Anolis sagrei: one gene and its partners. The protein of the gene in region 4 purifies or fractionates together with the protein of the main gene of each other region. This does not show direct contact. Links are inferred from orthologs where the notes say so. Each region holds a gene or a part of one and is shown on either strand. Other genes may lie near its edges. The genes, in order: OGDH, PDHA1, PDHB and DLD.

Region 1 (7,282 bases), on a different chromosome or scaffold from region 4:
TATGTAAATGTTTTTCAGCTCAAAAGAGAGTCCCTTTTGTTTGTGAGTCGTTGACTGAGATGGGAAACCAATTGGAGAGCCGTTAATTCTCTAGCCTAGTTGTGTCTCAGATGGAAAAAGTCAAATAACTTTTGTGGCATGGTTTTCAGTAATAAATTTGTTACCTTCTGCTATATTTATTTATTTACTTACTTTATTTATATACCGCTTTTCTCAGCCCTCAGGCAACTCAAAGCGGTGAAATATAGGGCACTGATTAAATGTACACACTATCTGACATGGGAAGGGTCCCTGTTGTTGTTGTTAGTGTCTTTGTAAATTGACCAAGACTTGACCCCTATTGTCTTTGTCCTTAGCAAAACTATAAGTTACTATCTCTTATGGGGGTCAGCTCCAGCTTCTCATGAAGGAAAATGAGAGAAGCCTCCCACTGAGTGGTAAAGTATCCAGGCGTCTCCTGGGCAATGTCCTTGCAGAAGGCCAATTCTCTCAAACCAGAAGCAATTTGCAGTTTCTCAAGTCGCTCCTGACATGAAAAAAAATCTCACTAACTCTATCTGACATGGAAAAAAAACCCCATAAAAGTGCTGATTCCCTTTACTGATTCAGGTAAATGAAGCCTGCAGAAGGGAATGTTGCCAGAACATAATAAGCATATTTTAGAGGACAGCTGTCGTTTACCTTGGAATTTTCTGTATGTCCTTGGAAGTAGTTGCAGTTTTTCAAATTTCTGGATTCACCTAAGACTTGCAAATATCCAGAAAAATCAAAAAGCTGATAGCTGTGGCTTGAGGAAGAAAAATAAAACTGCCAAGTTATGTGGGCATTTACTACTGAAAACCATGGAGTTTACAAACAAGCCTTTGTATTCTGCTCAAAAGATTCCCTGGAGCAAGCATTTAATCCTCAAATCATGAGGCAGGGTTAGGTAATCTTAATCTAGTAGTGTCTTTCAAACATTTGCAAACTTCCATTTTTTAAAAACAAACAAACAAACCAACTTTTCTCAAAATCCCAGGTATCATCATCTGTTTGGAAAGTCCAAAGTCTGCAATTGTTTTATAACGTTTAGAGAAGCTCAAGCGAGAATTAGCAACATGGAGTGTCTATTTAATCTTTTTTCATGTCAGGAGCAACTTGAGAAGTTGCAAGTTGCTTCTGGTGTGATAGAATTGGCTGTCTGCAAGGACGTTGCCCAGGAGACACTCGGATGTTTTACCATTATGTGGGAGGCTTCTCTCATGTCCCTGCATGGGAAGCTGGAGTTGACAGTTGGGAGCTCGCCCCGCTACCCTGATGTGAACCCCGACCTTTTGGTCAGCAGTCCGGCCCAAGAATGTATGCATGCATTCCAGTATTGACTCTGGACAAGTAGAAGGTTGAGATGAAAACACAGAGCCAAAGAATTGCAGTAGTTACCTGGCATATTAGCATTTCGAGATTTTGCTAGTAGCATGTTGCCCATCAGGAAAAGGAACTTCTGGCTAATATCCCAAATCCTGAACAACCGGGGTATTCTTACGCTGGTGGTTTGGAGTACATAATCCTCTGGGGGGAAAATAGGTATATAGTACATGCATTTCGTGACCACATCTATATAAATAAAAATGTAATGTTCGTTTGTGGGATTAGCATAACTCAAAAAACCATTGGACGAATTGACACCAAATTTGGACAGCATACACTTAACAACTCAATGTATGTTTTTCACTCAAAAAAATGATTTTGTCATTTGAGAGTTGTAGTTGCAGGGATTTATAATTAACCTACAATCAAAGAGCATTCTTAACATCACCAATGCTGGAATTGAACCAAACGTGGCACACAGGACTCCCATGACATGGGTACTGATAGGCATTGACCTTGAGTTTGGGAGTTGTAGTTCAGCTACATCTAGAGAGCACTGTGGAGTCAAACAATGATGGATCTGGACCAAACTTGGCACGAATATTCCATATGCTCAAATATGAACACAGATGGAGTTGGGGGGGGGGGGGGGGAATAGACCTTGACATTTGGGAGTTGTAATTACTGGGATTTATAGTTTACCTAAAATCAAAGAGCATTCTGAACCCCACGAATGATAGAATTGGGGCAAACTTCCCACACAGAAACCCCTATGACCAATAGAAAATACTTAAGGCCATCCAGTCCAACTCCCTTCACCAAGGTCATTAGACTGGGCCACAGCAACACATGGCAGGGGACAGCTAGTATGTGTATATAGAAGCAAAGAAACACATTCTAAGCAAGCCTCAAAAGTCTGGAAGGCAGCACCTTTGAACAAACCTTAACTCACTACGAGATTTGACTTTGCACTTGTTTTTAATACAGACATAGGAAACCCATTTCCCCCACCCCCAAAAAACCCTGGTTATTGCCCTCATCTCCTCACTCTACCCTCTCATGAAACAAGTAAAACCAATATATAATGTATATATAATTTTGTCTTGTGTGTACAATTTTGCATGGAGGGCCATTGGGTTGAGAAGGATCAAGCCACACTTCAGTGGGTATTAGACTTAAATTCCCTATACAGTCTTTTAGCTTTTGAATTATTTCATTAGTGTTAGATGCGCTCGCTAGATGGTGCTCTCTTTGCAAGGGCTAATTATATAATGCCTTACTCTAATGATATGTGACACTAAATATTTAAAGACATTGGCACACTTTGGGGATGTCTCCAAGTCTTAAAAAAGACAGATTTTTCTTGCAGATGTTACAAATACCTAGAAAACTGGCCAGCTATGGCAGTGGTTCTCAATCTTCCTAATGCCACAACCCCTTAATACCTCATGTTGTGGTGACCCCCAATCATAACATTGTTTTTATTGCTACTCTTTGGCTTAGAAATGTAAGCGCTGCCTCCGGAAAATCCTGCAAATCTCTTGGGAAGAGAAGTGGACAAACGTCAGCGTGCTGGAAGAAGTAAAGACCACTAGCACTGAAGCGATGGTCCTCCGCCATCAACTCCGCTGTACCGGCCACGTTGTCCGGATGCCCGACCACCGTCTCCCAAAGCAGTTGCTCTACTCTGAACTCAAGAATGGAAAACAGAATGTTGGTGGACAGGAAAAGAGATTGAAAGATGGACTCAAAGCCAGCCTTAAAAACTCTGGCATAGACACTGAGAACTGGGAAGCCCTGGCCCTTGAGAACTCCAGCTGGAGGTCAGCTGTTACCAGCAGTGCTGGAGAATTTGAAGAGGCACGAATGGAGGGCGAAAGAGAAAAACGTGCCAAGAGGAAGGTGCATCAAGCCAACCCTGACCGGGACTGACTGCCTACCACCTAGAAACCAATGCCCTCACTGCAGGAGAACATGCAGATCAAGAATAGGGCTCCACAGTCACCTATGCATCCACCAATCTTGGAAGACAATCCTACTCAGACATTGAGGGATCGTCTAACAACAGTTTGGCTTAGAAATGTATATAAGCACCAACCCGCAGAGTCAGACACGACTAGACATAAAGTAAGGGGAAAACCTTTATCTTTACCTAGCTGGCCCTGATTGTTTGTTGGTTTGTTTATTGTTGATTGATTGATTGATTGATTGATTGTTTATTAACCGCTTTGAGTCCCCCCAGGGGTGAGAAAGGCGGTATATATATATTGTAAATAAATAAATTCCTCCCTCCTTATATATATATATATGGATTCAATGAAGGAGTGGCTTTGCGGAAAATATAATAAAGGGCTGCCATTTCCCAATCTGGCCACTTGATGGCAGCAAAGGATTGTACATTGGAGTCGCGGAGTCCTGGGTGAAAAGCGCCTCTGCGGTTTCAAGGAAGGAGCAGAACAGCAATTCCTGATGTCTCCACTGGGCGGCGGCAAAAGGACCGGCATTAGGGCCCTGTAGAGCCGTAGAGGAACCTGTTTGGGGATGTTGGGGACTCTTGTCCAACTCCCCTAAGCTTAAGAGACTGAGGGGGGAAAGGAAGTGGTCTGAGGCTGTTAGGAATTGTGGGACTTGAAGTCCAAAACTTTCGAGTTGATTTCTCTAAATCCCCTAACAGCAAAACGTGGAGTTCACTCTATTTTTAAAAAAAGCTCTAGTCTAGGGTTTCTTGGAAAGAGGACCCAAGTTGACCCGTGGCTGCTCTAAATCTAAACGTGGAGTTCACTCTAAATTTTTCAAATCTCTAGTCTAGGGTTTCCTGGAGCTAGAGCCCAACTTGGCCGGTGGCTGCTCTAAATCTAAACGTGGAGTTCACTCTATTGTTTTACAAAAAGGTCTAGTCTAGGGTTTCCTGGCGTGCTTGATGACGTAAGCACGTAGGCGCCCGGAAGCGAGAGAGGCGGAGCCGGCGGTTGGCGCTGTCAAGCCCAGTTCGGAATCCTCCTGAGGGGAAAGGAGGCAGGAAGGAAGGTCGGTCGAGGCGCCGGCGGCAGGTAGCGCGGCCTGAGGCGGTTTGGGGCCAGGCTGAGGCGCGAGGGAAGGGAAGGGCCGCGAAAGGGAAGTCGCCCTCAGGGGGGCCGGACAAGTGTCCTTCGCGGGCGGGTTTGGGCCGCGCCGGGTTCCGTAGGGAGGTGAGAGGCGGGCCTGGCTAGGCCGGAGCCCCCTGCTCGGGCTCTTGTGTGCCCCTGTGGGCCGTGTGGGTCTGGCCTACTAGATCTCCATCCCCTCCGGCTTATTATTGGAGTTCTTTCCAGTAATATTCCATTTCATTTGTTCTTCCCTCTCTCCTCACAGCTCGAGGCGGGGCACAACATATAGTGAAGATAACACCGATTTATGTTTCATATACAAATGAATTTGGGCTCTCTCTCCAGGTGTTTTGGACTTCAACTCCCATCATTCCTAACAGCCACAGGACCATAAGCAGCTGAGGGGGTGGGGGGAAGGAAGGAAGGAGCCTGAAGCTGAGGGGGAAAGGAAAGGGACTGAGACTGTTAGGAATGGTGGATTTTGGCCCACCTGGAGGGAGGGCAAAAGTTGACCCAGGCCTGAGGTAACTGGTAGGTGCTGGATAAATGTAGCTGAGAATTACCGTTAAAAATAGGACTAACCCAGTGTTTTTCAACCTTATAATAACTTTATTTTTATACCCCGCCTCCCATCTCCCTGAAGGGACTTTGGGGCGGCTTACAGGGGACAAGCCCAGGATTACAATAAAACAGACACAATAAAAACAATCAATAACAACAAATAAAAAACATTAAAATTAATTAACATAAAAACAATACCTTTCCTAATTCTGCAACCCCTTCCTCATGTTATGGTGACCTTCAACCATAAAATGATATTTAATGCTACTTTCATAACTAGAACTGTACTTTCATAACTGTAATGTTGCTACTGTTATGAATCGCAGTGCAAATATCGGATATGCAGGATATATTTTCATTCACTTGGCCAAATTTGACACAAATATCCAATACGCCCAAATTTGAATACTAGTGGGGTAGGAGGTTAATTTGGTCATTTTGTAATTGTTGGGATTTATAGTCCATCTACAATCAAAGAACATTCTGGACTCCATTAACCATGGAATCAAACCAAACTTGGCACACAGAACTGCCATGACTAACAGAAAATACTGGAAGGGCTTGGTGGGCATTGAGCTTGAGTTTGGGAGTTGCAGTTCACCTACATCCAGAGAGCACTGTGGACTCAAGCTATGATGGATCTGGACCAAACTTGGCACAAATGCTCAATATGCCCAAGAATGGACACCAGTGGAGTTTGGGGGAAATAGACCTTGACATTTGGGAGTTGTAGTTGCTGGGATTTACAGTTCACCTACAATCAAAGTACATTCTGAACCCCACCAACAATGGAATTGAGCCAAACTTCCCACACAGAACCCCCATGGCCACAGAAAATACCATGTTTTCTTATTATCGTTGATGACCCCTTTGACACCTCTCGCGGGGGCTGCCAGGGGTCTTGGACCCTAGGTTGAGAAACACTGGACTAAACAATACTATACATTGTGGACTCAAATAAACCCAGTTTAAAGCAGATATTGTGGGATTTTCTGCCTTGATATTCTGGGTTATATGACTGTGTAAGAGCCCTAAGTATAGTTTAACTTTTACTGTTTATGCTCTGGAGTTTCTCAGAGAGGGAAGACAGGTGGACAATAATAATAACAACAACAACAACAACAAAATGACTTCTTACCTACTTCACTTCATGGCTCAAAGTAGGTTACAGAAAAATTAAAACACATAAACATTGCAGGAACGCTACAGATAACATATATTAAAACATATTTCTACAAAAGTTACATATTAAAACGTATTTCTATAAAATGTCTATTAAAATACACAAAATAGAGATTAAACGGATTAAATGGATACAAAACAGATCACAGATTTTAAAAAATGAAACAGTTTTAAAATCTGGGTTGCTGTGAGTTTTCCCGGCTGTATAGACATGTTCCAGAAGCATTCTCTCCCGACATTTCACCCACATCTGTGGCAGGCATCCTCAGAGGTTGTGAGGTCTGTTGGAAACTAGGCAAGTGGGGTTTATATATATGTGGAATGTCCAGAATGGTATCAAGTTTGGTACCAGATATATCTAATTAAAAACCATTCTACTGCTTGGACACCACAGACGCCTTTCCTCATTACTGTATATTGTTTTAATATGTTTGATTTGGAAGATGACGTGAAATGGCGAACTGTTTTAATGTATCTATAATTGTTTTTAATATAGGTTAATTGTATATTGTGCTTCTTTTGTTGTTTGGCACTGAATGATGCCTGTTGGTAGCAGTACTGAGTCCCTCTTCGGAGGCGAGAAGGACAGGACAGAAATGCTCCTAATAATTATATTAAATAAATAAATGTTTAGGTTCTTGTGGGTTTTTTCGGGCTATAGAGCCATGTTCTAGAGGCATTTCTCCTGACGTTTCGCCTGCATCTATGGCAAGCATCCTCAGAGGTAGAGGTCTGTTGGAATTAGGACAATGGGTTTATATATATCTGTGGAATGGCTGGGGTGGGGCAAGGAGCTCTTCCCTGCTGCAGTTAGGTGTGAATGTTCAGCTACCAGTATCTGGCTACCAGTATCTGGCTACCAGTATTAAAAAACTCTAAAATTATAACAGCTAAACAACAGAGAGGAAAAAACCAGGCACAGATTAACACCTCCCAGCAGCAGATTTTCCCAGGCGCAGGCAGGCCTTCAAATGCTAATGAAGGTGATCAGCTGAACATTCACACCTAACTGCAGCAGGGAAGAGCTCCTTGCCCCACCCCAGCCATTCCACAGATATATATATAAACCCATTGTCCTAATTCCAACAGACCTCTACCTCTGAGGA
Region 2 (7,792 bases), on a different chromosome or scaffold from region 4:
TTGTTGTTTGGCCATCACAGTTTTGAAGGGCTGTTGACAATAGTAAGAACTGGGGTCCCCGTGCATAGAAATGGGCTTAGTTACAATAATAAAGAGTTGACCTTTTAACAGATGCGTAGAAAGGCAATAACATCCCCTTAGCCCCAACACCATTCAGCCTCCTCAAATAACCCTCCTGGATGACGATTTGATTGATATTGGAACCAAAGAGAGTGCCAAATGAATGACATTTAATGCGAGAATACCCTGACAAAGAGAAATAAATAACCACCCTCCCAGATCCCAAAAGAAAATTCACAACTATAACAAAATCAAAAATTATCAAAGTTAAACAAAATTAAGTGATAATACAATTAAATAAATAAATAACATAGGTGGGTATATAGATAAAATGATAGATAGATAGATAGATAGATAGATAGATAGATAGATAGATAGATGATAGATAGAATGATAGATAGATAGATAGATAGATAGTTGGGGTGGGTGGGTGGGTGGGTAGATAGAAGGGTGTCTGGATAGATGGATGGATAGAAAGATAGATTGGTAGGTGGGTGGATAGATAGAGAGAGAGAGAGAGAGATAGTGGGTGGGTAGATGGATGGATAGACAGATTAAATAGAGAGAGAGGGTGGGTGGGTGGGTAGATGGATGGATAGATTAGATAGAGAGGGTGGGTAGATGGATGGATAGGTAGATAGACTCCCTTTATTCAGCCCACTCAGCTCCCTTGATGTCTCATTATCTACCTCAACATTAGAATCACCCCCACCTAACGCCCAAGGGAGACTATTCCCCAGCCCAACTTCCTCCTCTGAGAGCTGACTAGATCACGGCCATGTAGGGGGGGGGGAGTTCCAGAGGAAGGGGGGGCATCCAAGACGTGTGGGGGAGGAGACTTGTGGGTCACAAACATCCCAGGGAGAAGCGCAACAGAGTCCTTGCGACCCTGGAAAAGGTGGGTAGTGGTAGGCTCCTTGGCAGCCCCCTTGGTCTTAAGGTCCTGCTGATTAATGCCAGATCCGTTAATGGTAAGACCGCGGCCATTCAAGACTTGATCCTGGATGAGAGGGCGGATCTGGCATGCATCACCGAGACCTGGCTGGACGAGCTGGGGGGTGTAAATCTCTCTCAGTTATGCCCACCAGGTTTTGGAGTGCATCAGCAGGCCAGACAAGGGGGGCGGGGAGGAGGGGTCGCAGTAGTCTTTCGGCAATCCATCGCCGTGATCAGATGCGCTGTCCCGCAGGCTTCCGGGTTTGAGTGTGTCCACTTGAAAGTGGGGAGCCGTGACAGTGTGGGGTTCCTGCTGGTGTACCGCCCACCCCGCGACCCAGCAGCTTCCCTGTCTGAGCTAGCGGAGGTGGTCTCTAATTCGGCCTTGGTCTCCCAACGCCTGGTGGTGCTGGGAGATTTTAACATTCACGCTGAGACCACCTTATCTGGCGCAGCTCAGGACTTTATGGCCACCATGACGACCATAGGACTGTCACAGATAATATCTGGCCCCACTCACCAAGCTGGACATACTCTTGACCTTGTCTTTGTGATGGACAACGAATTGATCAGAGTGGAAGATCAAAACATCCTTCCTGTGTCATGGTCTGACCATTATCTGATCACTTTTAGACTTGCTGCGACTCTTAACCTCCGCAGGGGTGGAGGACAAATTAAAATGGTCCGCCCTAGGAGACTGATGGATCCGGATGGATTCCTGAGGAATCTTGGGGTTCCTCCTGCCCTGGAGCTTGGCGATTCTATCGACGCCTTGGTAACTCTCTATAATGGGGAGATGTCCAGGGCATTAGATATGATCGCACCCGAACGTCCCATCTCGTTGCGTCGTGACAGGCCATCTCCTTGGTTCACCGAGGAGCTGGCTGTGATGAAGCATACGAGAAGGGGGCTAGAGCGCAAATGGAGGAAATCTCGAGCCGTCTCTGATCGAGCACGGGCTAAAGCCTCTCTTAAGGCATACTCCGTGGCTATATGGGGGGCCAGGAAATCGTTCACGACCTCCCGTATAGCGTCTGCTGCAAATAGATCATCGGAGCTGTTTCGGGTCGTGGGGGAACTCCTCCATCCTCCTGTGGTGGAGGAGGTCACTGATGACCCAGCAGCTAGGTGTCGCGATTTCGCACACCATTTTGCAGGTAAAGTCGCCCAGATACGCCTTGAGCTCGACTCCAATTCCATCGCAGTGCCAGAAGAGGTGACGGAGGCATCTGCTTGTCTGACTTTGTGGGATTCTTTTAGGCCTGTTCTTCCTGAAACCGTAGAGGAGATTCTTGGGGCTGTGAGGGCGACCACCTCATCTCTAGACCCATGCCCATCTTGGCTCATCAAATCAGCCAGGGAGGGGTTGCTTGATTGGTTTGTATTGATTATCAATGCATCGTTGGAGCAAGGGATTTTTCCATCTAATCTGAAGCAGGCTGTGGTTCAGCCACTCCTCAAAAAAGCTTCCCTTGACTCCACGGTGCTGAGTAACTACAGGCCAATCTCCAACCTCCCTTTTCTGGGTAAGGTGCTGGAGCGGGTGGTCGCCTCGCAGCTCCAGAGCTTCTTAGACGATACCAACTACCTAGATCGGTCACAGTCTGGCTTCAGGCCTGGTCATGGTACCGAGACAGCCTTGGTCGCCTTGGTGGATGACCTCCGCAGAGAACTGGACAGGGGGAGTGTGACTCTGCTGGTTCTCTTGGACATCTCAGCGGCTTTCGATACCATCGATCATGGTATCCTTCTGGGTCGTCTCTCTGGGATGGGCCTCGGGGGCGCGGTTCTGTCGTGGCTCCGGTCCTTCCTGGAGGGACGGACCCAGATGGTGAAGCTGGGAGACGCCTGCTCTGACCCCTGGCCTTTGACCTGTGGGGTCCCGCAAGGCTCCATTTTGTCGCCCATGCTTTTCAACATCTATGTGAAACCGCTGGGAGAGGTCATCCAGGGTTTTGGAGTTGGGTGCCATCTTTATGCGGATGACACACAACTCTACTACTCCTTTCCACCTAACTCCAAGGAGGCTTCTCGGGTGCTAGACGAGTGCCTGGCCGCTGTGTTGATCTGGATGAGGAAGAACAAGCTGAAGATCAATCCCGACAAGACAGAGGTCCTCCTGGTCGATCGTAAACCGGATCGGGGTATAGGATGGTTACCTGTGTTGGACGGGGTTACACTCCCCCTAAAGCCACAGGTCCGCAGTTTGGGTGTCCTCCTGGATTCTTCGCTCACACTTGAGGCTCAGGTGTCGGCGGTATCCGGGAGGGCCTTTGCGCAACTGAGACTTGTGCGCCAACTGCGACCATACCTCGTGAAGGCTGATCTGGCCGGCGTGGTCCACGCCTTGGTCACCTCTAGAATGGACTACTGCAATGCGCTCTACATGGGGCTGCCCCTGAAGATGGCTCGGAAACTTCAATTGGTCCAGCGGGCAGCTAGGATCCTAACTGGGGCTCCTTATCAAGAGAGGTCTACCCCTCTGTTTAAGGAGCTCCACTGGCTGCCATTTATTTTCCGAGCCCAATTCAAGGTGTAGGTGCTCACCTACAAAGCCCTAAACGGTTTGGGACCACCCTACCTGCGTGACCGCATCTCCATCTACGAACCCACACGCTCGCTTCGATCATCTGGGGAGACCCTACTCGTGATCCCACCTACGTCGCAAGCGCGCTTGGTGGGGACACAGGACAGGGCTTTCTCTGTGGCGGCCCCCCGACTTTGGAACGCCCTTCCAAAAGATCTCCGACAGGCCCCTACTCTAGCTGTTTTCAGAAGGAATTTAAAAACTTGGCTATTCCGTTGTGCCTTCTCAGACTAGGAATCCCCACCCCAAGTCCTAGTAGCACCTTAGCATAACTAATCGTCGCTGCACACCGCACTTCTAATCCTACGTGCCTCCTGCCATTTCAGCACTTTTAACCCTTGTACCCCATTGCGCCGGCCGAACCAGTTTTAATAATGTCTTGATGTACTGCCATTGTCGTTATTTTGCTTATTGTTTTGATTTGCTTTGTTATTGTTGTGCTATGTTTTCTATTGTATTGTGTTTTGAGGCTTCGGCCTGTGTAAGCCGCATCGAGTCCTTCGGGAGATGCTAGCGGGGTACAAATAAAGTTAATAATAATAATAATAATAATAATAATAATAGATAGAGATAGATGTATAGATGGTGGGTTAGGTAGACAGACAGACAGATAGTGGGTAGGTAGATGGATGGATGGATGGATAGATAGATTAGATAGAGAGAGGGGTGGGTAGATGAATGGATGGATAGATGGATGGATGTATAGATGATGGGTTAGGTAGACAGACAGATAGTTGGTAGGTAGATGGATGGATGGATACATTAGAGAGAGAGAGGGTGGGTAGATGGATGGATGGATGTATAGATGGATGTATAGGTGGTGGGTTAGGTAGACAGACAGACAGATAGTGGGTGGGTAGATGGATGGGTGGGTGGTGGATAGATAGATCGGTGGGTGGGTAGATGGATGGATGTGTGGGTGAATGGATGGATAGATAGATAAATAGATAGGTAGATAGACAGATAAATCGGTGGGTGGATAGATAGATGAATGGGTGGGTGGATGGATAGACAGACAGATCAGTGGAGGGAGGGAGGGAAGGAGAGAAAGAGAGAGAGCTATCTCGTCTCCAGAGGAGTCAGTCATTGTCGGCGGGCTCCGCCAGGGGGCAGTAGAGCGAGAGAGAGCGAGCGGAAGAGCGCCGCTGCCGACACTTCCTCCGCTGTCCTTCTGAGCGGAGCTCCTCGTCGGCCGGGTTTCCGCGGAGGAGGAGGAGGAGGAGGAGGAGGAGGAGGGGAGGAGGGAGGGAAGAAGAGGTTGAAGGAGACTCGGCGGCCTTGCCTTCCTTCCTTCCTCCGGTGCGCGGCGGGGCTGGGAGCAGCCGAGGGTAGAGCAGGCCGCGGCGTGTGTATGTGGCGGTGAGCGCCCTGCCCTCCATGCGCAAGATGCTGGCCGCCCTTTCCCGCCTGCTGCTGCTGCCCAAGGGCTCGGCTGCCCACAAACCGGTGAGTGAGCGGGGGGAGGCGGAGGGCAGAGGGCTCCCCGTGACTGACTGACTGACTGACTGACTGACTGCCTGCCTGCTTCCCAAGGCCACGTGCCAGGGGCGCGAGGCGAGGGGGAAACGGGCACTCCCGAGGGGGCGCGTGGCTGACAGCTGGGGTCGCGCGCACAACAACGGGGGGAGGGGCGACGCGGGGAGGTGAGGAGGGAGGAGGCCGCGCCCTGTAGAAGAGTTCTCTCCCTCAAGAGCTCTCTGCCCTCCTCTGAGGCAGGCTTGGGCCTTCAGTCGTTTCTGACCTATGGCGAGCGAACCCTCTCCTCCACCTTCCCCTCCTCCTCCTCCTTGGCAGAAAGGGGTTTGCCCTTGCCTGTCTCTGAGGCTGAGAGAGTGCGGCTTGCCCGAGGTCACCCGGTGTCTTTCCTTGGCTCCTCAGAGTGCCCTTGAGGTTTCTGCTTACACTGTCAGCGCTGTGGAGCCACGGGAGTTTTGGCTTGCGCTTTTTGAAAGGCAAGGCTCAAGGCCATGCAAAACGACCACCCCCAAGACGCCAGGGCAGTTAGGAATGGGGCCCAACTGGATTGGTTCTACAGTGAAGATGCACCTGTAGTCCAGCGCTCAAACTGGCGCCCATTTATTTATTTATTTGTCGTGTCAGGGCAACTGGTGCCCATAAGAACACACAGTCCCCTGGAAAAACCAACAATGCTTGGTTATTTAGAAAGCTGTACAGAAAAAAGGCAGATGCTGCAGACAGATAGATTGTTACTGCATAGAGTTACGACCGTGTTGGCTTCCCATCCAGCTACTAGCAGGGCCAACCCTGCTTACCTTCCAGTGGCTGCTGGATTTTTGTCATTATCTCCCATTAGGTTGTGTTGTCCAAAGCTTTCATAATCACTGGGTTGCTGTGAGTAAATGCCCAGTAGAGTTTTTTCTGCCAGCCATAAGTCAACCTAGTGGCAGGGTTGCTGCAAGTTTTCCGGGCTGTATGATCATGTTCAAGGAACATTCTCTCCTGATGTTTCACCCACATTATGGCAGGCATCCTCAGGGGTTTGAGGAGTCTGTTGGAAATGAGAATGCCTGCCATAGATGTGGGCGAAATGTCAGGAGATAATGCTTCTGGAAAATGGCCATACAACCTGGAAAACTCTCAGCAACCCTGCCATTAGGTTGACTTATGGCTGGCAGAAAAACTCTACTGGGCATTTACTGCTTAAGACATACTAAATATTTATAGACTTATTGTAAATCAACAGGTGACTAAAAGCACACAGAAATTACAGAATGGGAATGGAAGAAACAATATTCCTTCAACAATACATTGAGATTATTAAGAATAGTTTTGGCCATAACTTCATAACCACAGATGTATTAAGAATATTCTCCTTTCTAAAGCACAATAAGACCCTAAGCTCTTACAAAGAGCAGTACAAAATAAAACATTATACTAACACAATACAGATATGCCTACTTTGTACTATGCTTCTTGCAACACATTAATATTGCTTTGTGTCTGAGTCTCCAGTTTGTGCCAAAGGACATGGAAGTGGCTTTCTGGATAATCAGGCTGCCATATGGCATCACATGTTTAAGGGTAAAATAAAGGCAAACATTCCACACTACAGGAATAGTATTTCTTGTCTCAGAAAACCCTATGAAATTAATGGGGTTGCCATAAGTTGACAGACGGAGGCATACACACAGGTGACCAATATAAAGAGAGCACAGGTGTCTTCCCACTCCTTTCCATATTTGTGGAGAGGAAGCTGTCTCTTTTCAGGTATGTCTTTTTGCCCAGTTTCTGTTTTGATATAGTTGCAACACTGCTGCCCTACTTGTGTCTGTCTTATTTCAATGCAGTGGTTCACAACCTTTTTTTGACCACTCTCCAACAGTAGTACCAAATGGGTTACAAATCGGGTTTGGGTCAAGTGTAGATTTGGTTTGGTTATTTGGGGTACTAATTCAGAAAATTGCATTGGGCAGACCACATCAGCTCTAGCTTCTGATGCAAAACATATGTCATCCAGTAGTCACCATTTGCTTGCCCACAGAAAACCATATTTAATAATTTATTTATTTATTTATTATTTACTTTGCTTCTATACCGCTGTTCTCAGCCCGAAGGCGACTCACAGCGGTTCACAGTCAGTAAAAACAGCAATAATTCAATGCAACATATAACAACAATTAACAACTTAACACATTACCCGCTCAGTACACAATTACTACCATAACCAAACCCAATCGTCTTATCGTCAAAAACATAATCCAGATTCGTCATCCATTGTTCATTCCTATGTTCATTACCAATCATTGTACTAGTTATTCGAATGCCTGCACACACAGCCAGGTCTTCAGTTTTTAGGGAATACCATGAGAGATGGGGCCGATCTAATGTCCATGGGAAGGGCGTTCCACAGCCGAGGGGCCACCACCGAGAAGGCCCTATTTCTCGTCCCCACCAACCGTGCTTGAGAAGCCAGCGGGATCGAGAGCAGGGCCTCCCCAGAAGATCTCGAAGTCCTGGTGGGTTCATAGGCAGAGATGCGGTCGGAAAGGTATCTTGGGCCGGAACCGTTTAAGGCTTTATAGGCCAATGCCAGCACCTTGAATTGAGCCCGGTAGCTCATCTAGAGCTCATCTAGAGCTGATGTGGTAATAATAATCTTTCATGGGTAGTCAGCCTCTCCCCTCCCCATATCCCTGTTGCCTCTGCACTATAAGAGAGTTTCGCAGGACCAGTCACTCTCATTGTTGC
Region 3 (7,281 bases), on a different chromosome or scaffold from region 4:
ATAAATATCCCTCATTTAGAAAAAGAAAATGACTATGTGTTAAGATGTACATTTATATTTAGCTAATAATCATAACCTCTTCAGTAAGGTCACTGAAATTTGCTCTTTCATTATTGCTTGTGCTCATATATATGCAGATTGCAATTGATTATTAGCTTTGCTAATGAGCTTGCTTAGAACAATGTAATCATCAGCTATTTGTGCGCATTCTTCTAAATTATAGTCCAAAAATGCCATTTCATCTTCTTTTTTCCTATCCTAGATTCTAAATTTAGAAGAGAAACATGAAATCATTCATCTTTCAACGGGATGTCACACGTTTCCAAACTTCCCTACTCTGGCAAGAACAAAAATTCGGATTGTGCTATTTTAGCCCATGAGACTATATAATTGTACATTTCTGTGACCAACACTTTACATTTCTCTCCTAAATTGAATTCTATGTCTTTTTTCAATATATCAGTGGAGGGTAAGTGTCCATGAATTTATATTTCTTAGATACTCTGCTACCACTCTGTTGGTTCTTATTGCGATTATACAATGTTTCTTTTGGGATCACCAATAATATACACTTGAAGCATTGTCGTCAGGTGGGATAATTTATACCCTTAAGTTGTCAGGACTGATGACAGACAGGTCAGCGGTTCAAATCTGGGGAGAGTGGGTTGAGCTCCCTCTGTCAGCTCCAGCTCCCCATGCAGAGACATGAGAAAAGCCTCCCACAAAGATGGTAAAACATCAAAAAACATCAGGGCTTCCCCTGGGCAACATCCTTGCAGACGGTCAATTATCTCACACCAGAAGCAACTTGCAGTTTCTCAAGTCACTCCTGACACATAAAAAAAGTTCTAATACGTAGATGCACCCAAGAATGGGGTGGGTTAAGCTCTGCAAAGCATGAGCAAACATACCATTTTGTCTTTCCTCGGCTGAATGAGTCTTTCTGAGCAGATATGACAAATTATGCATAAATTAACCTTTCTGACCCAAGTAATTGGCAATTCTAAATGTGTCTCTTTTGAAACCTTTACAGCATGTAATTGCTGGAGAGGGCTTGTTTGGAATTGAGATGGAAGATTTTCCACTCGAAAGATAACCCCAGTGCAAACCGCGTACATGGCTGGAGATAAGCAATAAGTTCTCTTCACAATAATATATTAATTTATGCAGTTTGTGAACACTTTGGATGTATCACTGTCTGCATGATAAATTATCTACAAATATTTAAATGAAAAAACACATTTGATGTCTTTTCCTGGATAGTCCTAATTTTTAAAATATTCTTAATGACAGTGGCCCAACCTGTACTGCCATAAAATGCAATTCAACAGCATTGTGTGAATCTACACTGCCATATAATTAATTAAATACTGCTAAACTTCATTGTATGCCAGTGTAGGCAGGCCTTCGTCAGCAGGTTAGTCAGGGTTGTTCAAGAAAAATTCTGGACTCATATATAGCCTCTTATTATGATGTCTCCCAATGTTCGAACAGCATTCATGGCAATACTTTCAAAACATAAATATTTTTACCTATTTTATTTTCCTCCTTATAGTATTTTTAATGAGTTCATGGAAAATAAGAAGGTGGAAGTAGTTTAAAACAGAAGGTTTGGTCATCCCTGCCACCAGCTTGACATAAAACTTCCTTGGAAGTATTGAGGCTTTCCACTTCTTATTATTTTGAATATAGCTGAATATTTATTTTAGCTTAATACAGTATATTTTATTTATTTATATCATGCTTTATCTCTCCATATGGAGACTCAAAACGTTTCACGATCAAAAACATTACAATTTAAAATATAAAAATATACAAAAATAAAACAGTATATCATTATATATTATCAGTAGTAATTATATTTAATATATTAAAGGTAAAAGTTTCCCCTTGACATTAAGTCTAGTTGAGTCTGACTTTGGGAGGTGGTGCTCATCTCCATTTCTAAGCCGAAGAGCCGGCGTTGTCTGTAGACACCTCCAAGATCATGCGGCCAGCATGACTGCATGGAGAGCTTTTATCTTCCTGACGGAGTGGTATGTATTGATCTATTCACATTTGCATGTTTTCAAACTGCTAGGTTGGTAGAAGCTGGGCCTAACAATGGGAGCTCACCCTGCTCCCTGTATTCAAACTGCCAACCTTTCATTCAGCAAGTTCCGCAGCTTTAACCTGCTACACCACCGAGGCTCCATTTAATATATTAGTATTACTATATTGCAATATTATTATTTGGGCACTACAATTGAAGAGAGATATTAACAGGCTGGAATGTGTTCAGAAGAGAGCGACTAAAATGTTCAAGGGTCTGGAGAACAAGACCTATGAGGAGCAGTTTAAAGAGCTGTGCATATTTAGCCTGAAGAAGAGAAGGCTGGGAGGAGACATGATGAGGGCCATGAATAAATATGTGAGAGGAAGTCACAGGGAGGACGGAGCAAGCTTGTTTTCTGCTGCCTTGGAGTCTAGGACATGGAACAATGGCTTCAAACTGCAAGAAAGAAAATTCCACCTGAACATTAGGAAGAACTTCCTGACTGTGAGAGCTGTTCAGCAGTTGAACTCGCTGCCCTGGAGTGTGGTGGAGGCTCCTTCTCTGGAGGCTTTTAAGCAGAGGCTGGATGGCCATCTGTCGGGGGTGCTTTGAATGCAATTTTCCTGCTTCTTGGCAGAATGGGGTTGGACTGGATGGCCCATGAGGTCTCTACCAACTCTTTGATTCTATTGTATTATTATATTTTATTATTTATTTATTTATTTGGGGTTCTTTTACCCCGCCCTTCTCACCCCGAAGGGGACTCAGGGCGGCTTACAAAGGCAAAGGCACAATTTGATGCCTGCATCATAAAACAATCATACACAAAATTACATCAATTCACAGTTAATAACAATTCATGCATTATAACCATAAAATCAATAAAATCAATAAAAACCAATACAAACCCAATTTCTCCTCTTACATGGTCAGCGTTCGCTAACTCATAGATCTAGTTTTACGTTCCACTTCATCAGTCCTGTTGGTCCTTACTTGCCTGATTATCTGATTTAATTGCCAGCGTGCCCAAAGGCCTGGTCCCATAACCACGTCTTCACCCTCCTCCTGAAGGCGAGGAGGGATGGTGATGCCCTGATTTCCCCCGGGAGTGAGTTCCACAGGTGAGGGGCCACCACTGAGAAAGCCCTGCTCCTCGTCCCCACCAGCCTCACTTGTGACAGTGGTGGGGTCGAGAGCAGGGCCTCCCCAGATGATCTCAGACTCCGGGGTGGGACGTAGAGGGAGATACGTTCGGACAGATACACTGGACCGGAACCGTACAGGGTTTTGTAGGTCAAAACCAGCACCTTGAATTGTGCTCGGAACTGAATCGGCAGCCAGTGGAGCTGGCACAGCAGGGGAGTGGTATGCTCCCTGTATGTCGCTCCGGTGAGCAATCTGGCTGCCGCTCGCTGGACTAGTTGAAGTTTCTGAACAGTCTTCAAGGGCAACCCCACGTAGAGCGCGTTGCAGTAGTCTATTCGGGATGTAACAAGATGTAATTTAGTAATATTAAATTGTATTACATTATATTATTAATATTATATGTAAGTATAACATATTATATAATTATATATTACTATATTGTACCACAGCACTATACTCCAATATTATTATTAATAATACATGTAAATCAAATAGTATATATTATATGGTATTATATGAGTATACCACAATATATAATATACCAGCATGTTTTGCTATTAGTGGGTTGTTGTAGGTTTTTTTGGGCTATATGGCCATGTTCTAGAGGCATTTTCTCCTGACATTTCGCCTTCATCTATGGCAAGCATCCTCAGAGGTAGTGAGGTCTGTTGGAACTGGGGAAAAGGGTTTATATATCTGTGGAATGACCAGGTTGGGACAAAGAACTCTTGTCTGCTGGAGCTAGGTGTGAATGTTGCAATTGACCACCTTGATTAGCATTTGATTGCCTGGCAGTGCCTGGAGCAATCTTGTGTTGAGGGGTGATTAGATGTCCCTGATTGTTTTCCCTCTGCTGTTTTGCTGTTTTAATTTTAGAGCGCGCATTGAGCCTTCTTGTCCCATTCAGCTTCCCGTAGCCTTCTACAGCAAATAGGAAATGCTGTTCTCATCATCAGGCAGGGCTATAAATAGTCAGGCAAGGATAGAGATGAACTCTCGTCGATTGAATCTCGCGAGAGTTGTAGGATAGTCCCGCCTTCTCCCTTTCGCTCTCGTGCTACCTCCTGGTTGCTTGGCAACGGTGACGGGCGTGCCCGGTGACGCGTTACGCCGGGGCGCCGGCGGGGTTGAGGGCAAATTGAAGATGGCGGCAGCGGCGTTGCCGTTGAAAGGCCTTTTGCGAGTGGGAGCAGGACGGCTCTCGGGGCTCCCACGGCGGGGGTTTCACCGCTCTGTGCCGGCCGCCGTTCAGGTAGGGGCGCCCCCGAGGGAGAGAGAGTCCGAAAGGGAAACGGGGCGTGGAAAAGGAGTTGCTTGGAGTTAGAGGTCGGCCAGAGGGTGCATCTACGCTAGGCATGGGCAAACTTGGGCCCTCCGGGTGTTTTGGACTTCAACTAGGAATGGTGGGAGTTGGAGTCCAAAACACCCGGAGGGCCCAAGTTTGCCCATGCCTGGTGTTGAGTTCCCTTCCTATTGAGATAAAATGTCACTCTATACAGGTCAATTATTATTATTATTATTATTATTATTTTATTTCTTGCCAGCCTCTCTTCATGACTCGAGGCGGGTTACAAAACAATTCAAATACACAAGCACAGCAAAAACACTACAAGTTACACACACTAAAACGTACCTCCATAAAAGTTACATACCAAAATGTATCTCTGCAAAATATATATTGTGATGGCATGCCGGGGGTTGAAGGAAAACTATATGTCCGTCTATTCCCCAGTGGTTATCGGAATCTATGAATCTATATAAATAAAAATGTAATGTTCGTTTGTGGGATAACTCAAAAACCACTGGATGAATTGACACCAAATTTGGAAACAATTATAATTTTATTATTATTATTATTATTATTATTATTAACTTTATTTGTACCCCGCTAGCATCTCCCGAAGGACTCGATGCGGCTTACAAAGGCCAAGGCCTCAAAACACAACATAACAATACAACACCTAAAGCAAATTAAAAACAGTTCAAGCAATATTAAACAACAAGCAATAAACAATACATCAAGACACTATAAAACTGGGCCGGCCCAGAGTAATGGGTACAGGATTAAAAGTGCCGATGTGACAGGTGATATGTAAGGCTTATAGGGCAAGTGCAGTGTGCGGCAATCTTAGTTCTAATAAAGTGCTTCTGGGACTTGTTATTGGAGATTCCTATTCTGGAAAGGCACATCGGAACAGCCAGGTCTTCAAGTTCTTTCTAAAGACTGCCAATGTAAGGGCCTGTCTAAGATCTTTTGGGAGGGTCTTCCAGAGTCGGGGGGCCACCACAGAAAAGGCCCTGTATCGCGTCCGCACCAAACGCGCCTGCAACGCAGGCGGAATCGCGAGCAGGGCCTCACCGGATGAACGAAGTGAGCACATGGGTTCATAAACGGAGATGCGGTCACGGAGGTAGGGTGGTCCCAAACCGTTTAGGGTTTGTAGGTAAGCACTTATCAGGCCAACGAGTGACCATCACTCATAAAAACACTAAAAAACACATTGGAAGAGACTTAAAAAGACAAAAAAATACATTAATAATAATAATAAACTTTATACCCTGCTACCATCTCCCCAAAGGGGACTCGCCAAGCTCAATGATTCATTACAGCAACATAAAATATAAACAACAATATAACATCACAGTTAAAATAAATAAACCAATTAAGTAAATAAGCAGTACAAAATAGCATAATGGAAAATCAAACACAGTGGGTGGGCCAAAAGCACAACAAAATGGTAAAACTCTAGATGAGATAGCAATGAAAAGGTACATTTGTGGAGGAGGAGTTCGTGGGGACTGAACTTATGCGCAAAAACACACACATATACAAACACACGTATATACACAAATATATAGACACACATATAGACACACAAAGCACATATACACAGACTGGGCCACAGCAACACGTGGCAGGGGATGGCTAATAATAATAATAATAATAATAATAATAATAATAATAATCTTTATTTATACCCCACCACCATCTCCCCAACGGGGACTCGGGGCGGCTTACATGAGGCCAAGCCCAACAATGCAATACAATAAAATAAAATAAGATCATAAAGGCATAAAACAACAACATAATAAAATACATAAAACATGAGAATACAGTAAACAATATAAAATACAATAAAAGTCATTCACAATCCCAGTGACATTAAGCAAGCCACTTGTACAGGATAAAATACTAAAAACTCAGGGTGAGATAGGAATGGGGCAGATTATTTGTGAGGGAGGGAACATACCCTCTGATGTACTTTAGTTCTTTAAAATAAAGACTCTTGAGACAGGATTAAAGTTAACCAAATAAGTTTACTGGAAACAAAGCCAAAGTTAATTTCAATGTATTGTCGAAGGCTTTCATGGCCGGAATCACTGGGTTGTTGTAGGTTTTTTCGGGCTATATGGCCATGGTCTAGAGGCATTCTCTCCTGACGTTTCGCCTGCATCTATGGCAAGCATCCTCAGAGGTAGTGAGGTCTGTTGGAACTAGAAAAAAGGGTTTATATATCTGTGGAATGACCAGGGTGAGACAAAGGACTCTTGTCTGTTGGAGCTAGGTGTGAATGTTTCAACTGACCACCTTGATTAGCATATAATGGTCTGACAGTGCCTAGAGCAAACTTTTGTTGAGAGGTAATTAGATGTCCTTGTTTGTTTCCTCTCTGTTGTTGTGCTGTTGTAATTTTAGAGTTTTTAAATACTGGTAGCCAGATTTTGTTCATTTTCATGGTTTCCTCATTTCTGTTGAAATTGTCCACATGCTTGTGGATTTCAATAGCTTCTCTGTGTAGTCTGACATGGTGGTTGTGAGAGTGGTCCACCATTTCTGTGTTCTCAGATAATATGCTGTGTCCAGTTTGCTTCATCAGGTTCTCTGCTATGGCTGACTTCTCTGGTTGAAGTAGTCTGCAGTGCCTTTCATGCTCCTTGATTCGTGTTTGGGCAATGCCGCGTTTGGTGGTCCCTATGTAGACTTGTCCACAGCTGCATGGTACACGGTAGACTCCTGTAGAAGTGAGAGGATCGCTCTTGTTCTTTGCTGAACATAGCATTTGTTGGATTTTCTTGGTGGGTCTGTGTTTCCTCATCAG
Region 4 (7,941 bases):
AACTGCATTTCCCTGGAATTTGCTGAAAGAAGGGTCCAAAAGTAAAGTGGTTGATTTTTTCCACAATTTAGACATCTTGCAGACAGAACAAAACTTTCTGTTACTTTTATAGTTTTCTCACAATTTTCAACACAGGTGATGTTCAACACTGGTACAGAACCATGGAGTACATGAACTGTTTGGAGTGTGTGCGCTGATCTATTCTGCTTCTGAATTCTTAAGATAAAATAGTATTTTGTGTTTTCTTGAAGTGTGTTGGGCTCCACTATTTGAACGGGATCAATGGAAGGTGTCCAGGTTAAATCAACCTGTGCTGGGTGGCATTTTTCATTGGGACTCAGCCTCATTGTTGAATAATCTAATTCCCGTTTTGTGCAGTACCAGTTAAATGTCATTCCTTCCAGGGGATTGTGTGAATCAGGATCAGATGAGGAAGATCCATCCAGAGCCCAACGATCAGAAACACCAACCATCCGGAAGGGTCCTCCAATTATGTTTGCTACTAAATCACTTTCGAGAATTTGGAGTAATATTGAATCTGACTCAGTGATGTTTATATTATATGCAGGTAGAAAAACTGTCATGGTCACATTAACATGATGAAAGCCATAATACAAAACATTCCCGGGTATGTAAAATATTACGCTATCTGTAGTTATTTCATCAGGTAGCTTGAGAGGATGTGTCCAGTCAGGAATAGACAAAGCACTTTTAAGGCTGTAGATTTTCCAGAGTATATGTATAACTGAACTTGTCCTGCAGTCTGCTTTTGCAATTGATTCCAAGCGAACTGCTGACACTCTCCTGTATTTTATGACTGACTCAAACAGATTTGGTTTATGGATGGTAGCAATCAGGTTATAACAGTAACTTTTTTGACAGGCCACATTTAACTCCCTGATTTTTGAAGAGTAAGTGTTGACCGTGGCTTTGAGAACAGCATGTACAAGCCCACTTTTTCTGCAGTTCACTTTTGCTACAAACCCTGCATACAGGGAAGGTTTGAAGAATGAAACAGAGTGAGAAAGAAGGCGAGTGGCATTTTTCACATGATTTCCATAAGTGTACGTGTAATTCCAAAGGAGGTGCTCCTTCCTAGAATCAAAAAGTTGCAAATCAAAGATCCATTCACACTGCAGCTGCGGATGTTGTGTAGGAATAAACCATAAAACATAGGCCAAACTCTCATCAGTAGAATGTCCATTGAAAATCTGAACTTCGGTATCCTTTTCTCCTAAAGCCTTGAACAAAGTCTCCCTTCGGTTCAGGTATAAGTGCATGCTGAACCGGTACCACTGAGGTTGTATAAATTCAATGATGAGTAGGTAAGAGAGGCTCTGCTGCTGATAAAAAATATAGTGAAAGCTAGAGTTCCCACCACTGGCACTGGTATTCTTTCTTGCTTGGGTAGAATAGTATAGTCCCAAAGCATGACTGAAAATGTAAGTGCCTGCTTTTGTTCGTTGTGGGTTGAGCACGAGGTAAGTTGGGTTTGCATTGTTTGCTCTGAAAATCACAGTCTGATTAGAAAATCTGATTTCCCCCTTGAGCTGTCCAGATATTTTCTCGCTAATACGAAAATAGATGCTGGCCATCACTTTGCCCCCAGAATTCCATGATTTGGGAGCTGCACAGAAATCACTTTGTAGAGCAAAAGGATTATAATTGTAGTGAGGAGACCATTGGTCCAGTCCCTGCACATCTATCAACGAGTAAGCCATTATTCTGGGACTAAGGGGTTGGAGAGTCCAGGAAAGGTTGACAGTCCTGTGAGTAAGACTGAGCAATGTGGAGGAAGCGCTAAATACATGGAGCAGAGCAGGCTGCACATACACGTTGAGACTGCGTCTGAGGTGAGGCCCATTCTCAATATGGAGTGAAGCAGTGTAGACTCCACGGTGTGGATAACGCACTGTTACATGGTAGTTATAATATGATGCACATCCTTGGTGCAATTTTGCATAGGGATAAAGAGTGGGTGTGAGTGACTCATTGTGCTGGTTGCTGGGAATGAGATGGTCTACAGGACTACCCCCGGGACTCTCGAAGCGGTAGTTCCAGGTGACACTTTTCAGGCGTGCACACCAGCCTAGCTGCACTGGTTGCCATTCCCGGATGGGAAGTGTCTGTGGTGAGAGGAGGAAAAGATGGACATCTTGCTTAGAAACTTCAATGGTCAAGTTGTTGTAAGCACAAGTGGGTAAATAGCACCAGGCTGATACGCATTGCACTGTGATATGACTAAAGTCCTGGGGTGGATGAGGGCCTCCTTCATCTTGGCCCATATCTATTACCACCTGACCTGACCAGTGATTTGTATTCTCTAGCAAGTTGGAATCCCGGTACCACCTACAATGGGGAGGGACTTGCACGCCTGGCTTCCCAACCTTGATATCTAAAGACAGTCCTCTGTTTCTTGAATACTTCAGCTCAATTTTCCCAGCCCAGATACATGAGATATGATGTTCAGTGTCATGCCTCTGATAGACTCGTTGTTGTGGATCTGTGCAGATGACCAACAGTGGAGGTGGCAAGAAATGAATGGGCGCAGCTGTTGTATAACAAAAAGAGTACCTCAGGAAGAAGATAAGGAGCACAGGGCAATGCATCTCTAGTGCAATGGTTCAGAAGCAACAGCTGTTTAGCAGTATCACCAACAGATCTATGGTTTTAATTCTAGAATCTTTCTGCTGTTGCCCCAAGCAACTGGCCCTTCCGTAGAAGTCAATTTCTTTATATTTCTTGATATTATTAGCTGTCTAGTCCTTTCTCTTCATGACCTATCAGCACAATTTAATTCATTAACTTCTCCATATTTACCCATTTTTTCCGTATACTGTATTTCCAATAATCTTTGGATTTGAAATGCATCATAATAAACTTCCAAACTTGGGAAGTTAATAAATAATATTAAAGGGAATGGAAGAGGAGAGAGGAAACAGAACTTAAGGAACCCTTTAAAGGAACAGTAAAAGTGTGGGGAAAAAAGAAAGAAGAAGTTAAATCCAGGCAATGAGAATAAGATGGCAACTATATGGCAAATGAATTATAATAATGATGAAATTATAGGCAGAACATTGAGACTGATTGAAAGTAGAGGGAAAAGGTTAGTAGAGGATCTATATACAGAGGATGGAAACCCCGTAGAACAAAAAGAAATTCAGAATTATTATTATTATTATCCGAACGTATCTCCGCCTATGAACCCACCAGGACTTTAAGATCTTTTGGGGAGGCCCTGTTCTCGATCCCGCCTGCATCACAGGCACGTTTGGCGGGGACAAGGGACAGGGCCTTCTCAGTGATGGCCCCCCGGCTGTGGAACGCCCTACTCATGGACATTAGAACAGCCCCCTCGTTAATGGTGTTTCGAAGAAGACTGAAGACCTGGCTGTTTGAACAGGCGTTTGGATAAACAGTGCTATGAATATAATGAATATAGGAAAACGGAATTACGGATGACGAGTTGGATCACGATTCTAGTTACGAGATGTTAATGTGTTGTCTATTGATGTGTAATTACTCAGTATATTACGCTGTTGATTGTTTTTAAATAGTGTATGTTGTTAGTATTGAATTCTTGCTCTTGTTGTTAACCGCATTGAGTCGCCTACGGGCTGAGAAACTGCGGTATACAAATAAAGTAAATAAATAAATAATAATAATTATTATTCAGTTCTTGTGGGTTTTTTCGGGCTATAGAGCCATGTTCTAGAGGCATTTCTCCTGACGTTTCGCCTGCATCTATGGCAAGCATCCTCAGAGGTGAGGTCTGCTGGAGCTGGGGAAAAAGGGGTTTATATATCTGTGGAATGACCAGGGTGAGACAAAGGGCTTTTGTAAGTTGGGCTAGGTGTGAATCTTCCAATTGACCACCTTGATTAGCATACAATGGGCTGACTGTGCCTGGAGCAAACTCTTCTTGAAGGGTGATTAGGTGTCCCTGCCAGTTTTTCTCTCTGCTGTTTTTGCTGTTGCAATTTTAGAATTTTTTAATACTGGTAGCCAGATTTTGTTCATTTTCATGGTTTCTTCCTTTCTGTTGAAATTGTCCACATGTTTGTGGATTTCCATGGCTTCTCTGTGTAGCCTGACATGGTGGTTGTGAGAGTGGTCCAGCATTTTTGTGTTCTCAAATAAAATGCTGTGTCCAGGTTGGTTCATCAGGTGCTCTGCTATGGCTGATTTCTCTGGTTGGAGTAGTCTGCAGTGCCTTTCATGTTCCTTGATTCGTGTTTGGGCAATGCTGCGTTTGGTGGTCCCTATGTAGACTTGTCCACAGCTGCATGGTATACGGTAGACTCCTGCAGAGGTGAGAGGATCCCTCTTGTCCTTTGCTGAACGTAACATTTGTTGGATTTTCTTGGTGGGTTTGTAGATTGTTTGTATGTTGTGTTTCCTCATCAGTTTACCTATGTGGTAAGTGGTTCCTTTGATGTATGGCAAGAACACTTTTCCTCTGGGTGGATCTTCATCGTTACTCTCGTGGCTTGTTCTTGGTCTTGCAGCTCTTCTGATGTCTGAGGTGGAGTATCCATTGGCCTGGAGAGCCCAGTTGAGGTGGTTCAGTTCATCTTGGAGGAGGTGGGATGACCAGGGTGCTCTGAGGATGCTTGCCATAGATGCAGGCGAAACGTCAGGAGAAATGCCTCTAGAACATGGCCCTATAGCCCGAAAAAACCTACAAGAACCTAGTGATTCCAGCCATGAAAGCCTTCGACAATACATTGAACATTGTCTAATGTTTGGCAGTGCAGACCCAGCCTGGGAGAGATGCCTGCTCTGGGGGCCACTCAAGGAAAGAGAGGCGGGGCCCAAAAGTCCCTCCTGAGGAGCCAAGGGGGAGGAGCCAAGATACGTCACGAGCTGCAGTGGCCGGCCTCTTCCGCTAGGTGGCGCGCGCCTCTTCCCGGCGGCCGCTTCCGCTGAGGAGGACCTTGAGGGCCAACCCGGCCTCCTCTCCCGTTGTGCGCCTGCGCGAGTCTTCTCCGTCCTTGGCGTTGCCGCTGCAGCTGTGCCTCAGAGGGAACCGTCAGGGCAGCCGCCATGCAGACGTGGAGCCGAGTCTGTTGCGCTCTCGCCAAGGTAGGGCCAGGAGCCGTGGGAAAGGGGGACGGCGTAGGCCCGAGGCGTAGGCCTGACGGAGTAAATAGAGAGAGAAGAGCGCGCGCGAGAGAGAGTGAGGGAGCCGCATCCCGTCATGCCCCGCGCCGCCCTTGGGCCCTCTCTGGCCCCAGCGCCGCCCTTTCCTGAAGGGGAGCCCTGCCTAGAGCCACAGACTGGAGGGATTCCAGGGAAAGCTCACCCCGTCCCTTCTCCTGAAGGGGAGCGGGCTGGAGGCCGCGGAAGGGTCCCAGGGAGAGGGAACTGCACCTCCTGAGTGACAGGATCAGAGGGAAGGGCACCAAATGGACGACTGACTAGAACAGAGCTTTCCAAACTGTCTTGGCTGCAGTGTGTCACATGAACATCAATTAGAAACTTCTGAGTCTGTGTGGAATATGCAATAAGCCATTGGGAAAGACAAAACAAAACAATGAAAGCTAGGTTGTTGTAGGTTTTTCAGGCTATATGGCTATGTTCTAGAAGCATTCTCTTCTGACGTTTCGCCTGCATCTATGGCTATTATTATTATTATTATTATTATTAACTTTATTTATACCCCTACATTGGCAGTCTTTAGAAAGAACTTGAAGACCTGGCTGTTCCGATGTGCCTTTCCAGAATAGGTCATCCAGAGTTTTGGAGTTAGGTGCCATCTCTATGCAGATGACACACAACTCTACTACTCATTTCCACCTAATTCCAAGGAGGCCCCTCGAGTGCTGGACGAGTGCCTGGCCGCTGTGTCTATCTGGATGAGGAGGAACAAGCTGAAGATCAATCCCGACAAGACAGAGGTCCTTCTGGTCGATCGTAAACCTGACCGGGGTATAGGGTGGCAACCTGTGCTGGACGGGGTTACACTCCCCCTGAAGTCACAGGTCCGCAGTTTGGGAGTCCTCTTGGATTCAACGCTTACGCTTGAGGCTCAGGCGTCGGCGGTGTCTGGGAGGGCTTTCGCACAACTGAGACTCGTGCGCCAACTGCGACCGTACCTCGCGAAGGTGGATCTGGCCGGAGTGGTCCATGCCTTGGTCATCTCCAGACTGGGTTACTGCAATGCGCTCTACGTGGGGCTGCCCTTGAAGACGGCTCGGAAGCTCCAACTGGTCCAACGATCAGCAGCCAGGATGCTAACTGGGGCCCCTTACAGAGAGAGGTCAACCCTCCTGTTCAAGGAGCTCCACTGGCTGCCATTTATTTTCCGAGCCCAATTCAAGGTGCAGGTGCTTACCTACAAAGCCCTGAACAGTTTGGGACCAGCCTACCTGCGTGACCGCATTTCCATCTACGAACCCACGAGTTCTCTTTGGGCATCTGGAGAGGCCCTGCTCGTGATCCCACCGGCGTCGCAAGCGCGCTTGGTGGGGACGCGGGACAGGGCCTTTTCTGTGGTGGCCCCCCGACTCTGGAACACCCTCCCCAAAGACCTTAGACAGGCCCCTACATTGGCTGCCTTCAGAAAGAACTTGAAGACCTGGCTTTTCCGATGCGCCTTCCCAGATTAGGAAATCTCCACTACCAAGTCCCATAAGCACTTTATCAGAACCAATGATTGCCGCACATCGCACTTGCCCTGGAAGCCCTATATACACCTCCTGTCACATCAGCACTTTTAATTTTGTACCCATTGCTCTGGCCCGGGCCAGTTTTATTGCGTTTAGTGTATTGTGCCTGTTGTTTATTTTGCTTTATTCTGTTTTTAATTGTTTGATTTGCTTAGATTGTATTGTTGTGTTGTGTATTGAGGCCTCGGCCTGTGTAAGCCACATCGAATCCTTCGGGAGATGCTAGCGGGGTACAATTAAAGTTTAATAATAATAATAATACAACTACCCAGTGATTCCAGCCATAAAAGCCTTCAACAATACAATGAAAGCTTTTCATGAGAGACCTTTTGTTGTCCCCATACGTTGCGTGTTTTAGAGCGTAGACATATGCCCTACATTTAGGGCAACTTTTATTTATTTTGTGTCAAAAGCATTGCATAAACAAACAAGCTCCTTGGTTTGCCCATTCTTGGTTTGTCCCCAGGGGAAGACTCTCATAGGGGGTCATCCAGTTGAAATTGCCTGATTTTTCTGCCCACAGTGATATTCTTGCTGTTGCTGGGGAAACCTTAAAGAGTAGTGGTAGTTCTCATGAAACTTTTCCTTGATTTAAGTCTACTCAGAGGTAGCTGATAGCAATACAGTGTGCACCTTTCACAATGTTCAGCCTTAATTCTCTCACAATTGGCAGCAACTTCCTGTTGCACATCGGGAATCATAGAGTTGGAAGAGATCACATGGGTCATCTAGTTCAGCCCCCTGCCATGCAAGAAAAGTACAATCAAAGTACCCCTGACAGATTGTCATTCATCCTCTGCTTAAAAGTATGCAAACACGGAGCTTCCACCAAACTTTTAGCGTATGAGCTGTTGAGCAGCTTATATGTTCAGGAAGTTCTTCCTAATGTTCAGGTGGAATCTCCTTTCCTATCATTTGAACCCATTGCTCCGCGTCGTGGGGCTCTTCCAGACAGGCCCTATATCCTAGGATCTGATCCCAGGTTTTCTGTTTATCTCAGATTATCTGGCAGTGCAGACTCATATAATCCAGAGAACCTGGGATCAGATCCTGGGATATAGGGCCTGTCTGGAAGGGCTGCTAGATCATGAGAAGCAGAAAACAAGCCTTCTCCCTCTTCCTTATGACAGGATTTCACATATTTAAACATTGCTATCATGTCTCCTCAACCTTCTCTTCTGCAGGTTAAACATACCCAGCTCTTTGAAATGCTTCTCATAAGCATGGTCTACAGACTTTGATCAGTTTAGTTGCCCTTCTCTGGACAGAT

What was found.
Region 1: the proteins of DLD (region 4) and OGDH purify together in Homo sapiens (affinity purification with mass spectrometry; 3 studies listed by BioGRID and IntAct, counting the BioPlex papers as one, with this or other methods). This does not show direct contact. The link is inferred for Anolis sagrei from reciprocal best matches to the Homo sapiens genes DLD and OGDH.
Region 2: the proteins of DLD (region 4) and PDHA1 purify together in Homo sapiens (affinity purification with mass spectrometry; 4 studies listed by BioGRID and IntAct, counting the BioPlex papers as one, with this or other methods). This does not show direct contact. The link is inferred for Anolis sagrei from reciprocal best matches to the Homo sapiens genes DLD and PDHA1.
Region 3: the proteins of DLD (region 4) and PDHB purify together in Homo sapiens (affinity purification with mass spectrometry; 3 studies listed by BioGRID and IntAct, counting the BioPlex papers as one, with this or other methods). This does not show direct contact. The link is inferred for Anolis sagrei from reciprocal best matches to the Homo sapiens genes DLD and PDHB.

What each region holds. Positions count from the first base shown.
Region 1 is NC_090027.1:15,081,154-15,088,435, forward strand, and holds the start of OGDH (2-oxoglutarate dehydrogenase complex component E1), read left to right. Parts: upstream 1-4,269; 5' UTR 4,270-4,374; exon of another isoform or gene 4,375-4,397; intron 4,398-7,282. UniProt on the Homo sapiens protein: 2-oxoglutarate dehydrogenase (E1o) component of the 2-oxoglutarate dehydrogenase complex (OGDHC). Participates in the first step, rate limiting for the overall conversion of 2-oxoglutarate to succinyl-CoA and CO(2) catalyzed by the whole OGDHC.
Region 2 is NC_090023.1:88,918,048-88,925,839, reverse strand, and holds the start of PDHA1 (pyruvate dehydrogenase E1 component subunit alpha, somatic form, mitochondrial), read left to right. Parts: upstream 1-4,790; 5' UTR 4,791-4,960; coding exon 4,961-5,029; intron 5,030-7,792. UniProt on the Homo sapiens protein: The pyruvate dehydrogenase complex catalyzes the overall conversion of pyruvate to acetyl-CoA and CO(2), and thereby links the glycolytic pathway to the tricarboxylic cycle.
Region 3 is NC_090022.1:29,004,148-29,011,428, reverse strand, and holds the start of PDHB (pyruvate dehydrogenase E1 component subunit beta, mitochondrial), read left to right. Parts: upstream 1-4,270; 5' UTR 4,271-4,325; coding exon 4,326-4,433; intron 4,434-7,281. UniProt on the Homo sapiens protein: The pyruvate dehydrogenase complex catalyzes the overall conversion of pyruvate to acetyl-CoA and CO(2), and thereby links the glycolytic pathway to the tricarboxylic cycle.
Region 4 is NC_090025.1:82,693,838-82,701,778, reverse strand, and holds the start of DLD (dihydrolipoyl dehydrogenase, mitochondrial), read left to right. Parts: upstream 1-4,928; 5' UTR 4,929-5,046; coding exon 5,047-5,085; intron 5,086-7,941. Other genes in the region: polycystin family receptor for egg jelly-like, read right to left, coding at 1-2,609. UniProt on the Homo sapiens protein: Lipoamide dehydrogenase is a component of the glycine cleavage system as well as an E3 component of three alpha-ketoacid dehydrogenase complexes (pyruvate-, alpha-ketoglutarate-, and branched-chain amino acid-dehydrogenase complex).